3 linked regions of the Xenopus tropicalis genome follow. The main gene of each other region encodes a partner of the protein of the gene in region 3 in a complex. Links are inferred from orthologs where the notes say so. Each region holds a gene or a part of one and is shown on either strand. Other genes may lie near its edges. The genes, in order: prpf31, lsm6 and txnl4a.

Region 1 (3,658 bases), on a different chromosome or scaffold from region 3:
TTCTGCCAATGGTTTACAGAACAGATTTTTTTGTGCAGAAGAGTGAAGATATAAAACAATCTTGGCTAAAATAAAAACAAACACTATGACACTTTACCCATGATCTTGGCAGCAGTGGAGGCCCCGACAATGATGGAGAGGTTAGGAGCAATGAATGACATACGAGATTCCACATACTCATAAATTCTGTGTTTGGATTGGTTGAGTTCTAGCGCCATATCACACGCTTCTTCAATTCGTTCCAGTTCTTCATCTGTTAATTGCTGCCTGTGTAGATCAGAGGAACTTACTTCTTATTTTCATCCCAAACACTGAAAAAGTTATAGTATAGTAACAGATATATGAACTTACCCCTGAGTTGTGGAGGCTGTCACACTTACAACCATGATAGTTGCATTGGTCAGAATTTGCTGAAGATTCTCATTGTTTTTGCATTTATCCAGATTGTTCCCTAGCTCCTACAACACCCAAATAAGATGTTATTATTTTTGATATTTATATAGCGTAAACATATTCAGCAGCACTTTACAGAGATAATATACATTCTCATCAGTCCCAGTCTAAGGTCCCTATAAGTTTCAGGCATAGTAGGGTCAATTTTATCAGGAACCAATTACCCTCCTTGTATGTCTTTGCAGTATTAAAAGAAAGCAAAGTACCTAGGGGAAACCCACACAATACTGATGATTTTGTTAGGCCCCAAGCTAACCTAAAAACTGAAGAAAAATAAATGTGAAAGTTCATAAAGTGGTGCCATAAGTAGTTTACTGATGTCACCTAATGCTAAGTTTATTGTCACTTCATGTACCCCATATATGTTTATGGTTCATACATTTTTCATTTAACATTTTAAGAAAAGTTTGGGTCCAGCTTAATAAATCTTTATACAAATTACCTTCTCTATTCAGTGTATGTTCCTACATACTGTTATACTACACACTGTGTATCCAGACATCACCATTATACCATAACTATATACACACATGCACAAAATACAATCCCCCTTACTGAAAGACACACAAACTAACCACTTAGTATCCTCATGCACACAAATCACCTACCTTCACAGTCCTTATATAATCCAAAGCATTAGGAACTAAGGACTCCAGCTCAGGAAACCTCTTGGAATATTTGTCCCGAATAAATTTGTGAATGATATCTAAGAAGATATAATATAGGTTTTAAGAGCGTACACTCCCATATATACTGTACACAAGTGCTATAGATGTTCTAACATAGTATCTGCAGTTTCCTATACAAAAGGGTTGTACATAAATGTAGCACTTATTTTACTAAATCATCACCTCAGATTATTGAAACATTGCACTTTCTACCAACACGGAGAATACAGTCAGATGCACTTACTTAGCTCATTTTCAATCTCCACAGTCAGATTGTTAGCATCAACGATAACTTTGTACTCTGGAGCAGCTTCAACAGGGCCCATTACTAAAAAAAATAGAAACAGAATAAAATTCAAATTACCAGTGCAGTCAAAACTACATTCTTGCTTTGTTTCTGTTTGAGAATCTATATGCAATGTTGCTGTTTGAACCAGTTTACATCAATAGATCACATATATTGCTAATTTCACTGGGCTAAATGGAAGGTCGATGAGTAACAGCATTCATTCATTTACATAAACGCCTCCTCGGGAAGCTAATCATAAAACAAACACAGGCATATTTAGTCTGAATATGCTTATATTTTCCAGAATTCTTACTTGTGTCACTTTAATGAAACACAGCAGTATGCCAAACCAATGAGTTCATAGAGAAAGTAATGAAATTAACCACTGTGCCAATTTATAACTATACCTTTTTATATGAAGAACTGGCAATATACAATAATTTGCAGTCTGCCATCATTCATCTCTTTTTTAATAACTGGGAAAACTGCAGTTTAGATTTAAAAACGAAGAACACTTTTTTGAAAAGATGTGTAATAAAACATGTAATATAAAATACCAATTAAAGTCTAGCCTCCACATCAATCTGTTTTGTATACCAGGGTTATGGATATTTCAAATTTCAGGCATGAGTGAGGCAGAATAAGTCATCCCATTCAATAACCATTAACATCACACCAAAACATGAATTATTATAATATCTTTCCCTTAAAGCCACACAAACTCATGCAGCTGCCTTTCACTCTACAGCACAATACAATGTGAGTTTCTTTATATTGCAATCCTTTTCGGTTGGTAACTCTTTGTCTCTGTTATTAACAGTCCACATGAAAATTATTTGAAGATATTTTAGGTACTCTGGCTTGAAATTTTGGAGTTAATGCCATGATTTAAATGATACCTTCAGAAGCCTTTGGTTGCTTTTTGATGTATCCGTCAATCTTTAAAAGGATTTCTGAAAACTGAAAAAATGCATCATTTATTTCACAATGTGGTTATAACAGACTATATAGACATTTTGCTCCATCATTTTAAAAATTTTGTTTTCATTTATAAATATATATCAGAGAAAAAAATAAAACCCCACACATTAATATGTGTTAGAACCACTTTTTGCAGCACAGAAAGCACTAAGGGGCAATTTTATCAAAATGAGAGATTAGAGCTCACCAAAGAAAAATTAAGACACTTTCTATTCATTTTTATGTGATTTTTAGATTAATAGGTGAAAGTTAAAGTTCACCACTTGATAGATGCACTTACGAAAATCCCATAGGAATGAAGAGAAAGTGTGTGAATTTTTCTCTGGTGAGTTCTAATCTCACATTCTGATACATCTGCCCATAAGTGTTTGTGGGTAAGTAGGTGCCAGTTTTGTACACTGTTCCATTCATCAGCCATTCTTCCAGGCAGATTAGCTATAGGTTTTACAAGTTAGTAACTTGCCAACAAATGTAGCCCTCAACTGTAAGATGATCCATACCTAAAGTGAAGTTTGTTGGTGGCAGAATCCTGCTGTGGGCCTGATTTTCATCAAAAGAAACTTTGCATATTTAATGTAGAGCAGAAGGATGTAATGAGGGGAGGGAGAAACAACGCTCAGTTAAAGAACGGATATTGATCCAATAGAGAATCTATGGCAGATATCTGATCTGTGTCATCTGAGTACAAAGCTGGCACATACTTAACCCATACATACTTGCTATTGCTGCAAAATGCTTCCATAGAATATCAGAGTGCAAGGAAATAGCACCCCTACCCTTAATGCGGTGGTGGAAAAACCAATAGTAGAGACATCAGTGGACAAAAAAAAAAAAAAAACAACTGAAAAAAAAGGAATGCATGTTTTTGCAAGCTGTATCCTTATTGACCATTAAAGGCATTAGTCCATTTGCTGGGTATCCAAGACCTGTCTCGCATACATTGGAAACAGGTTGTGAATTTATCCTCCTACTTTTTATCTCACGATGTTTTGACAAATTGCTTATTTGTGCATATAGACCTCTTTCATATGGACTTAAGCACTATAAAAGATCACTTCTTACTACTACACTGTTTTTTGCAGCAATGTACCAAAGTATTTTGAGGAGGGGTCTGTAAGTTCTGTATTCTCTTAATATGTCTCAAGAGTTAAACATTAGATATTTTTTGGTTCAGTTGTTTTTTTTTTTAGATAGAACACCAGAAATAAAAACTTAATACAGTTGCCCCATCCTTAGGCTGCCCCAGGTAGAGATAAGGTGAAAAATG
Region 2 (3,758 bases), on a different chromosome or scaffold from region 3:
AGAGCGTCTCCTCATCCCCTATGTTTGCATGGGTGGGTTCATGGCAGTTGCAGGGCAGATTCAAGTTCTGGATGTGAAAGCTAGTTACCCAGCAATTACCAAATGAATGAAAACAAAAAAAAAAAAATATTGTATAATTGTTTATAGTTATAAGCAGAGAAGACCTAAACAGCAATAAAGACAGGTATAAAGTGACAATTTAGAGGAGTGAGTGAGCTTCCCCCACACCATGCTTATAAACAATTTGCAGGATTTCCAATTTGGTGTCAGTCACTGGCCTCTTGGTGACTGCACATATATTTCTTAAGGTGCCCACACACCTTCAGATCCGCTCGCTTGGTGATGTCGCCAAGCGAGCAGATCTTCTCCCAATATCCCCCACCTACGTGTGGGCGATATGGGGAGAATCCAGGCTAATTCCCTGGGGCCAAACGATCGCATTATAAAGACGGGTATAGGTGAAGTCGTTCCAGGGACCGCATCAACGAGCTGATACGGTCCCCGATCCAACTAGATTTTTTAACCTGCCCGATCGATATCTGGCCCAATTTCAGGCCAGATATTGGTCGGGCAGGCCCATCGGTAGTGCCCATACACGGGCTGATTAGCTGCTAGAATTGGCCCGTGTACAGGGACCATTAGGTGCCATGACATTCACCACTTTAATAAGGATATTTGCAAATACATGGTGTACAGCAGGTAATGAATCAGTAAAGATTTCAGATGAATAATACCAGGCTCCAATTGAATAATGTCATGCCACACACAGCTTATCAGTATTAGTAATCATTTTTGATGCTAGTGACATTTTGTGTGGCTGATTAAAGTAAACTGACCCTTCAATCAGAAAGGATTATATGGGAAGTTTCAGAAAATCAAAGTAGCTTACCATAAGTAAAGTGCATGTGCCTGTATAAAATAGATACAAAAATAAATATATGTAAAATAAAAATACGTATACATTTGCGTCAACTCAAAGAAATGTATTACGTTTAGCAAGTAAGAGTAATGCTGAATCAGAACACGTTTTTAAAGTTGGAGGCGAGGTTTCTTTACTAGAATGACTTATAATGGCATGGTGCAGGGATTCAAAGCCATGAAACATACAGGATATCCCAGCCATTACTACATACAAGAGGTGCAGAGGAGCCACAGCGCCGCCTCTCGCCCTGATTGGACGCATCATTTCCCGTGTTAACGTCATCGTCCCCTTTTGACCCCCGGTAGGCGGTGCCTCATTCAGGAACCCGATTTACTTCCGTACGGCGCACACGGCTTTCGCTTGTTTTTGGATTGTCCTGAGACGGACACCGTAAAAAGGGGTAGGAAGGAGAGAGGCGGGAGAAAAGGCATCGCACGGGATACAGGGTGAGAATTACAGGGTGGCTTATGGCCGCCTGTAGTATTTGCATTGATGCACACCATCTAGTATGGTTAGTGCTCATTACGTTCAGAGAAAAGTAGGTAACAACAATAATTAACCTAAATGTGTGGCTCCCGCGGTGTCTATGCGAAGCGAATTCTGGGAGTTGTAGTTCATCCCAGGTGTGTGGCCGCTGCATTACATTGGGATTGTATTATGTATTGTTCAGCTATAATGTTTCGAAGTAGATTTGCTACAGGCACCCTTTTCTTGATACATATTTGTATTGCTCCCGGCAGGTGGGTATTGTAATTCCTGAGCAATATACTGATTACCAGCAGGCTGTACTAGAGGGGCTCAGTGCCAAGTACATGAGAGCTCCTCTCACAGGGGCTGTATAGATCTCCCTGCTACATCAGAGGGATGGAGCTTCTTACTTATAGATTTAGAATCATTTGTAAGTTTAAGCCCAGCTACAGTGTGTCAGTGTTGGGCTCTAGCCCTAATGTATGTAAGCCCTAATATATCTATGTTATCAGTGAGCTTTTCCACTTAATATTTTATTCTGGCAGTAACCAACATGCTTGAGGCTGTCACTGACAGATTTCCTCTGCTCTAATTGGCTGATACCAGCATGAGTCACATTTGTATCAGACTGCTGACAGACACCATGGTGGATATGTTTGTACAGGTATGGGATCCTTTATCCGGAGACCCATTATCCAGAAAGCTCCGAATTACGGAAAGCCCCTCTCCCATAGACTCCATTTTAATCAAATAATTCAGATTTTTTAAATTGATTCCCTTTTTCTCTGTAATAATAAAACAGTACCTTGTATTTGATCCCAACTAAGATATAATTAATCCTTATTGGATACAAAACAATCCTATTGGGTTTAATTAATGTTTTATTGTTTTTTTAAGTAGACTTAAGGTATGAAGATCCACGTTACAGAAAGACCCCTTATCCGGAATACCCTTGGTCGCTAGCATTCTGGATAACTGGTCCTATACCTGTAGTAGGAAACGTTTAGGCTGAGGAAGCACAGTATTTCTTAGAAATGATAAGAGACACTGAATAAAAACCTTTGATAAATACAATAATATATCAGGGAATTTGAGGACTGTGGAGTCGGTACATAAATCCTCGGAACAGTAACACAAAAAATGAAAGCATATAAAAGTAATTAAAATATAATGTACTAGTGCCCTACACTGGTAAACATTGTGTGTTTCCTTCAGAAACCCGAATATAGTTTATATAAACAAAGCTGCTGTGTAACCATGGGGGTAGCTGTACAAATTGAAAATAAGAAGAAAAGACACAGGTTACATAGCAGATAACAGATAAATTGTGTAGATTACCATTGTACCATTCTAAAGCGTGCATCTGTTATGTAACCTGTGCCTTTTCTCCTTTTTTCTAGCTTGAATGGCTGCCCCCATGGCTACACAACAGCTTATTTATATAAACTATATAGTCTTACTGAAGCAAACATGAAACTTTTACCAACACAGAAATACCCAATCTTAACCCGCCTGCTCCCAACCCTACCCGACCCAGCTTCTTCCCTTTATTTATAGACCTACTCCCGACCCTCCCCGCAATGACATCACGAAGGGGTGGGGCATGTCGGGCGCGCACCTATAAATTCCCAAGCTGGAATCGGAATATCAGCATTGTTAGGTCTCGGTCATGGAGGCTGACCGGAAGCACTCAACCCGAAGCCCACCCGCGACCCGCAGGTGATGTGCCAAGGTCGGCCTGACCTGCAGGTATTGGGCCAGCCCGCACATCAATAGTGCCCACTCCTTATTCTGCTGTAGACACTGAGGAATACAGAGCCTCCAGTTAGCTGTGATTTAACCCTGTTTTAACTGCTTTGTCTTCTGATTTTTTAGAACACATCTCTTATAGTGCTTTCCTGGCTTTCCTTTTAAAGGCTAGTTAAGACGAAGATATTTCTAACCAACTGCAGGCGAATGGATTGTCATTGCTGTTGGTTAAATTTGGTGGAATAGTTTAATAGAAAACTAAAGTTTAACATTTCTAGCCTGCTTCTTTTAGAGTTTAGTGTTTGTAGAGTTTATATTCTTTAAAATAGGACTTATACTCCACAATGTTTGCTGTGAATTCTGGACCAAAGCGGCAGTCTATTTGTATACCATATCATAGTGCAGATTTGCCAGTTCTAATGCACTAATCTGTGCTGTTAAATCATCAAACTGACAATAATGACCAACTGCAACTGATATAAAAATGCTGGTCTGAAAATGTGAATAATATATAATATCTGTAAAGCACTGAGGAATATGTTGGCACTATATAACAATAAGAGAATTATTTTGTCTTGAAACCTTTCTTTACAGTGAAAGGGAATTAGAATGAGCCTGC
Region 3 (3,758 bases):
CTTAGCCTTACTTCTGTACAGGCAAACCATTGACTTCCGGTTTTGGAGTCGGGCAAGGAGGAGATGTCGATCGTCGCATAGTGGATTGTGCAGAGGGAAGTTCGTTGTATTTGAAATGACCGGATGCAAAGTTTTGGAAGGTATTTTGTAATAAAGCATTCAAAATAATAAACGGTGTTCAGGATAGGGCAATTATTGGAGCAGGGTAGAATAGATTTTTTACTTAAAAAATACTTTTCCTTTAACAAACAACATATAGCTTTGCAGATTTAAAATTCATCGGGGTTGTCTACTGGATAATACATACAAACTTCAAAAACCTATACAAAATTGTTTGTTTTTATGTAAAAAAAAATAAATACTTAAAAAATAAGTCATAACACCTTAAAGAATCAGTAACACCAAAATTTTAAATCAACAAACATTTCATTTTACTGCATTATTTACTTTTTTGCATCTTGATTTGTTAACTATGCTATTTAAGGGCGGGTTGTCTGTATATTTAATATGGCTGCGGGTAAAGGATCCCTTATCTAGGAACTAGTGATGTGCAGGCTGACCCGGTACTTGTGGGTTGGCCTGGTTTGGGCAGACCTCAGCAAAACATTTGCGGGTGGGTTCAACCCAGACATCACTATTAGAGACCCATTATGAGAATAGCTCCAAATTACAGAAAGGTCATCTCCCATATTCCCATTTGTGATTGTTTAAAATGGTTTCCTTTTTCTCTGTAATAATAAATTAGTAGTTTGTACTTAACTAAGCTAAGGTAACTAAGCTGCATGGATCCATATTAGTGGTAAAACAATCCTATTAGGTTTATTTAATTTTTCAATTTATTTTTAGTAGACTTATAGGGACAGTATACACCTAAAACACTTAAGTTTAAAATGAACACTGTAAGACTGACTGTAACAATGAACACTGACTTGTGTTGAAATTACAGTCTGCTTATTGTTTAAATTAAAAAAAACCTCACATTTTCCTTTTTTTTGTAATTATAAAGCATTAATTTGAAAGTTAAGGTGGCCATACACGAGGCGATTTCGCTCGTTGTGCGATGAACGATTATATCGACAAACGATCGTATGGCGATCGAGTTCCCATACGATATGCCATCCACGGGCAACGATAATTCGGGAAAGATTTTGTCGCATCATTATCGTAAAATACCTACGATCGTACATCTACGTACGATCGATGTCGTTGCTGGCAATCGTGACATGCGCAGAGAACAATCGTTGAAAGACAAATGTCTGACACTCACACCAACTGGCAGATTTTATCGTTAAACGACCAAAATTTTTAAACCTGGCCGATCGATTTTGGGGACGATAATGTCGGCTCGTTTAGTGGGCCGACGATCGTTCGTACACCACCAACTATACGATAACTTAACGATAGCATCGGATCGTTCGGGAATCGGTCGTTTGTAAGTAAAAAATCGGTCCGTGTATGGCCACCTTTAGGCTATTTTCACAGTATTTACCTCCCCACTTACTTTATAAAAAGGCAATTTGTTCCCTGTCTACCATTGAACAAACAAACCCCTCCCTTTTTTAAGTAACTCATTAACAGGGGATTCTCAGTGGACTGAGTTTTTTATATTCTTTATTTCAAGCAGAAATGGGGTACAGAAAGGAAAAAGGGTTAGGTAGGTTAAGATAAATAGTGGACTGAGTTTTATGAGCTCCTCTGAAATTCTGTGGGATCAGGAAATATTAAAATGACACTGGCTTCATATTCTCGTTTAGTTCCAGAAATAACAGAAACCATAGATATTGCTTATTTAAAACAATAGGCAAAAAGTTTGTTCAGCACAAGCCCTAATTGTTGAGCTCATGTTGAAAAGGGGAGTGTGCTGTCCCTTTAAGGCAGTGATCCCCAACCAGTGGTTCGTGAGCAACATGTTGCTCCCCAACCCCTTGGATGTTGCTCCCAGTGGCCTCAAAGAAGGTGCTTATTTTTCAATTCCTCACTTGGAGGCAAGTTTTGGTTGCATAAAAACCAGTTGTACTGCCAAACAGAGCCTCATTTAGGCTGCCAGTCCACAACGGGGCTACCAAATAGCCAATCTTAGCCCCGATTTGGCACCATCATGAACTTTTATGATGCTTGTGTTGCTCCCCAACTCTTACTACATTTGAGTGTGGCTCACGAGTAAAAAAGGTTGGGGATCCCTGCTTTAAGGTATGGTGATCCAAATTACTAAATGATCCCCTATTCAGAAATCATCCGGTACTAAGCATGCTGGATAAACAGAACTACATTTTTCCATAAGATATATGTTTATTGCTAAAACTTAATGCAAATCTATTCTAGAAATATTGTGTGTTGCACTTAAATACATTCATATACTACTTCCATTTTGTTTTGTAGGTTAAAAACTTTGCTGTTATTTATCTTGTGGATATCACAGAAGTTCCAGACTTCAACAAGATGTATGAGTTGTATGACCCTTGTACAGTGATGTTTTTCTTCAGGTGAGATTGCTTGCTTCTTTACACATAGTAATTTCATTTATTGAACTATCTAGGAATATTCTCAGTTGTACTGTCATTTTTAATCTAAGCCCATTTAACGTATATGGTACTGTTTTACTTAGAACAAAACAGAATACATTTGCAGAGGTAATTGGTGTGGCAGTTTCTTTTCTAACATATATATAATCAGAAAAAGAATATGCTGTGTTCACAATCAGATATGAGTGGACTATTGTCTGTATATATGCCAGTAACCTGAAATGTAATTTCATTTATAACTATTTGTTAATATTTTTTAATAAGTTGTTTCAGTTGGTGTATAGACACAAACATTTATTAGCACTAATAAAATGTCTTTCTAAGCTAAGAGAGACAGTTGGTTACATATAAGTGAATTTTAGGGAATCACCCCACCTGGGATATTAAACTACCCAATACCCCTTGGGGAGGTAATCTATAAAAACAAATTTGGTGTATTGGCCAATAATACACATTTGCCAGCCAATGTTTATTTTTTGGTTGAGATCAACCCTGTATGTTCAATGACTGGTGAATGCCAGGATGTCAGTTACTGCCCTCTGGATGGTAGCAGGCCCATACCAGCATTTTCTCCACTGTAGAAGAAAACTCATTAGCTTATTTATAAATGTATTCTACAGGAAACATTTGCAAGAATAAGGAGACAAGAGAATCTGACGTGTAAACCTTTTGCACCATAATGTAGTGCTTTATAGCCATTAGCAGAGTGCATGTGCTGCCCATTAGTGTGAGCAGTGTGCCCCAGTGTGACAGGCTTGTGTTTTCACTAAAATCTGCTCCATGTGTCTGCACCTGGGTTGAAGCTGTGGCTCTGGGTGCCAGCACATGGAAAGGATGTTTGGAGCATAGGGGCTGATTCTTAGCCTGTGTTTATCCGCAGGCCGAGAATCCGCCCCCTGTGGCTGTAGCTTTACGCACGCATTTTTAAAAACATGTACATACAAGCATACAGCCTACAATCAGGGGCATAACTAGATATTTATAACGAGATTCTTTATTTCCAGTCATTGCAATGTATATTTTCTTTTTATACCAGAAATAAGCACATCATGATTGATTTGGGCACTGGAAACAACAACAAGATAAACTGGGCAATGGAAGACAAGCAAGAAATGATTGATATTGTAGAAACAGTTTACAGGGGAGCACGAAAAGGCAGAGGTCTGGTAGTATCTCCAAAGGACTATTCTACCAAGTACAGATACTGATGTGTTTTACGATGTTTCAAGCAGCGTC

The links.
Region 1: txnl4a (region 3) and prpf31 share a complex: the UniProt entries of both Homo sapiens proteins name them as parts of the U4/U6-U5 tri-snRNP complex. The link is inferred for Xenopus tropicalis from reciprocal best matches to the Homo sapiens genes TXNL4A and PRPF31.
Region 2: txnl4a (region 3) and lsm6 share a complex: the UniProt entries of both Homo sapiens proteins name them as parts of the precatalytic spliceosome. The link is inferred for Xenopus tropicalis from reciprocal best matches to the Homo sapiens genes TXNL4A and LSM6.

Annotation. Positions count from the first base shown.
Region 1 is NC_030683.2:104,952,573-104,956,230, forward strand, and holds part of prpf31 (U4/U6 small nuclear ribonucleoprotein Prp31), read right to left. Parts: intron 2,371-3,658; coding exon 2,310-2,370; intron 1,450-2,309; coding exon 1,366-1,449; intron 1,160-1,365; coding exon 1,062-1,159; intron 459-1,061; coding exon 352-458; intron 268-351; coding exon 98-267; intron 1-97. UniProt on the Homo sapiens protein: Involved in pre-mRNA splicing as component of the spliceosome. Required for the assembly of the U4/U5/U6 tri-snRNP complex, one of the building blocks of the spliceosome.
Region 2 is NC_030677.2:58,334,948-58,338,705, reverse strand, and holds the start of lsm6 (U6 snRNA-associated Sm-like protein LSm6), read left to right. Parts: upstream 1-1,281; 5' UTR 1,282-1,368; exon of another isoform or gene 1,369-1,545; intron 1,546-2,952; exon of another isoform or gene 2,953-3,139; intron 3,140-3,733; 5' UTR 3,734-3,748; coding exon 3,749-3,758. UniProt on the Homo sapiens protein: Plays a role in pre-mRNA splicing as component of the U4/U6-U5 tri-snRNP complex that is involved in spliceosome assembly, and as component of the precatalytic spliceosome (spliceosome B complex).
Region 3 is NC_030682.2:96,976,907-96,980,664, forward strand, and holds part of txnl4a (thioredoxin-like protein 4A), read left to right. Parts: intron 1-2,379; coding exon 2,380-2,483; intron 2,484-3,558; coding exon 3,559-3,730; 3' UTR 3,731-3,758. UniProt on the Homo sapiens protein: Plays a role in pre-mRNA splicing as component of the U5 snRNP and U4/U6-U5 tri-snRNP complexes that are involved in spliceosome assembly, and as component of the precatalytic spliceosome (spliceosome B complex).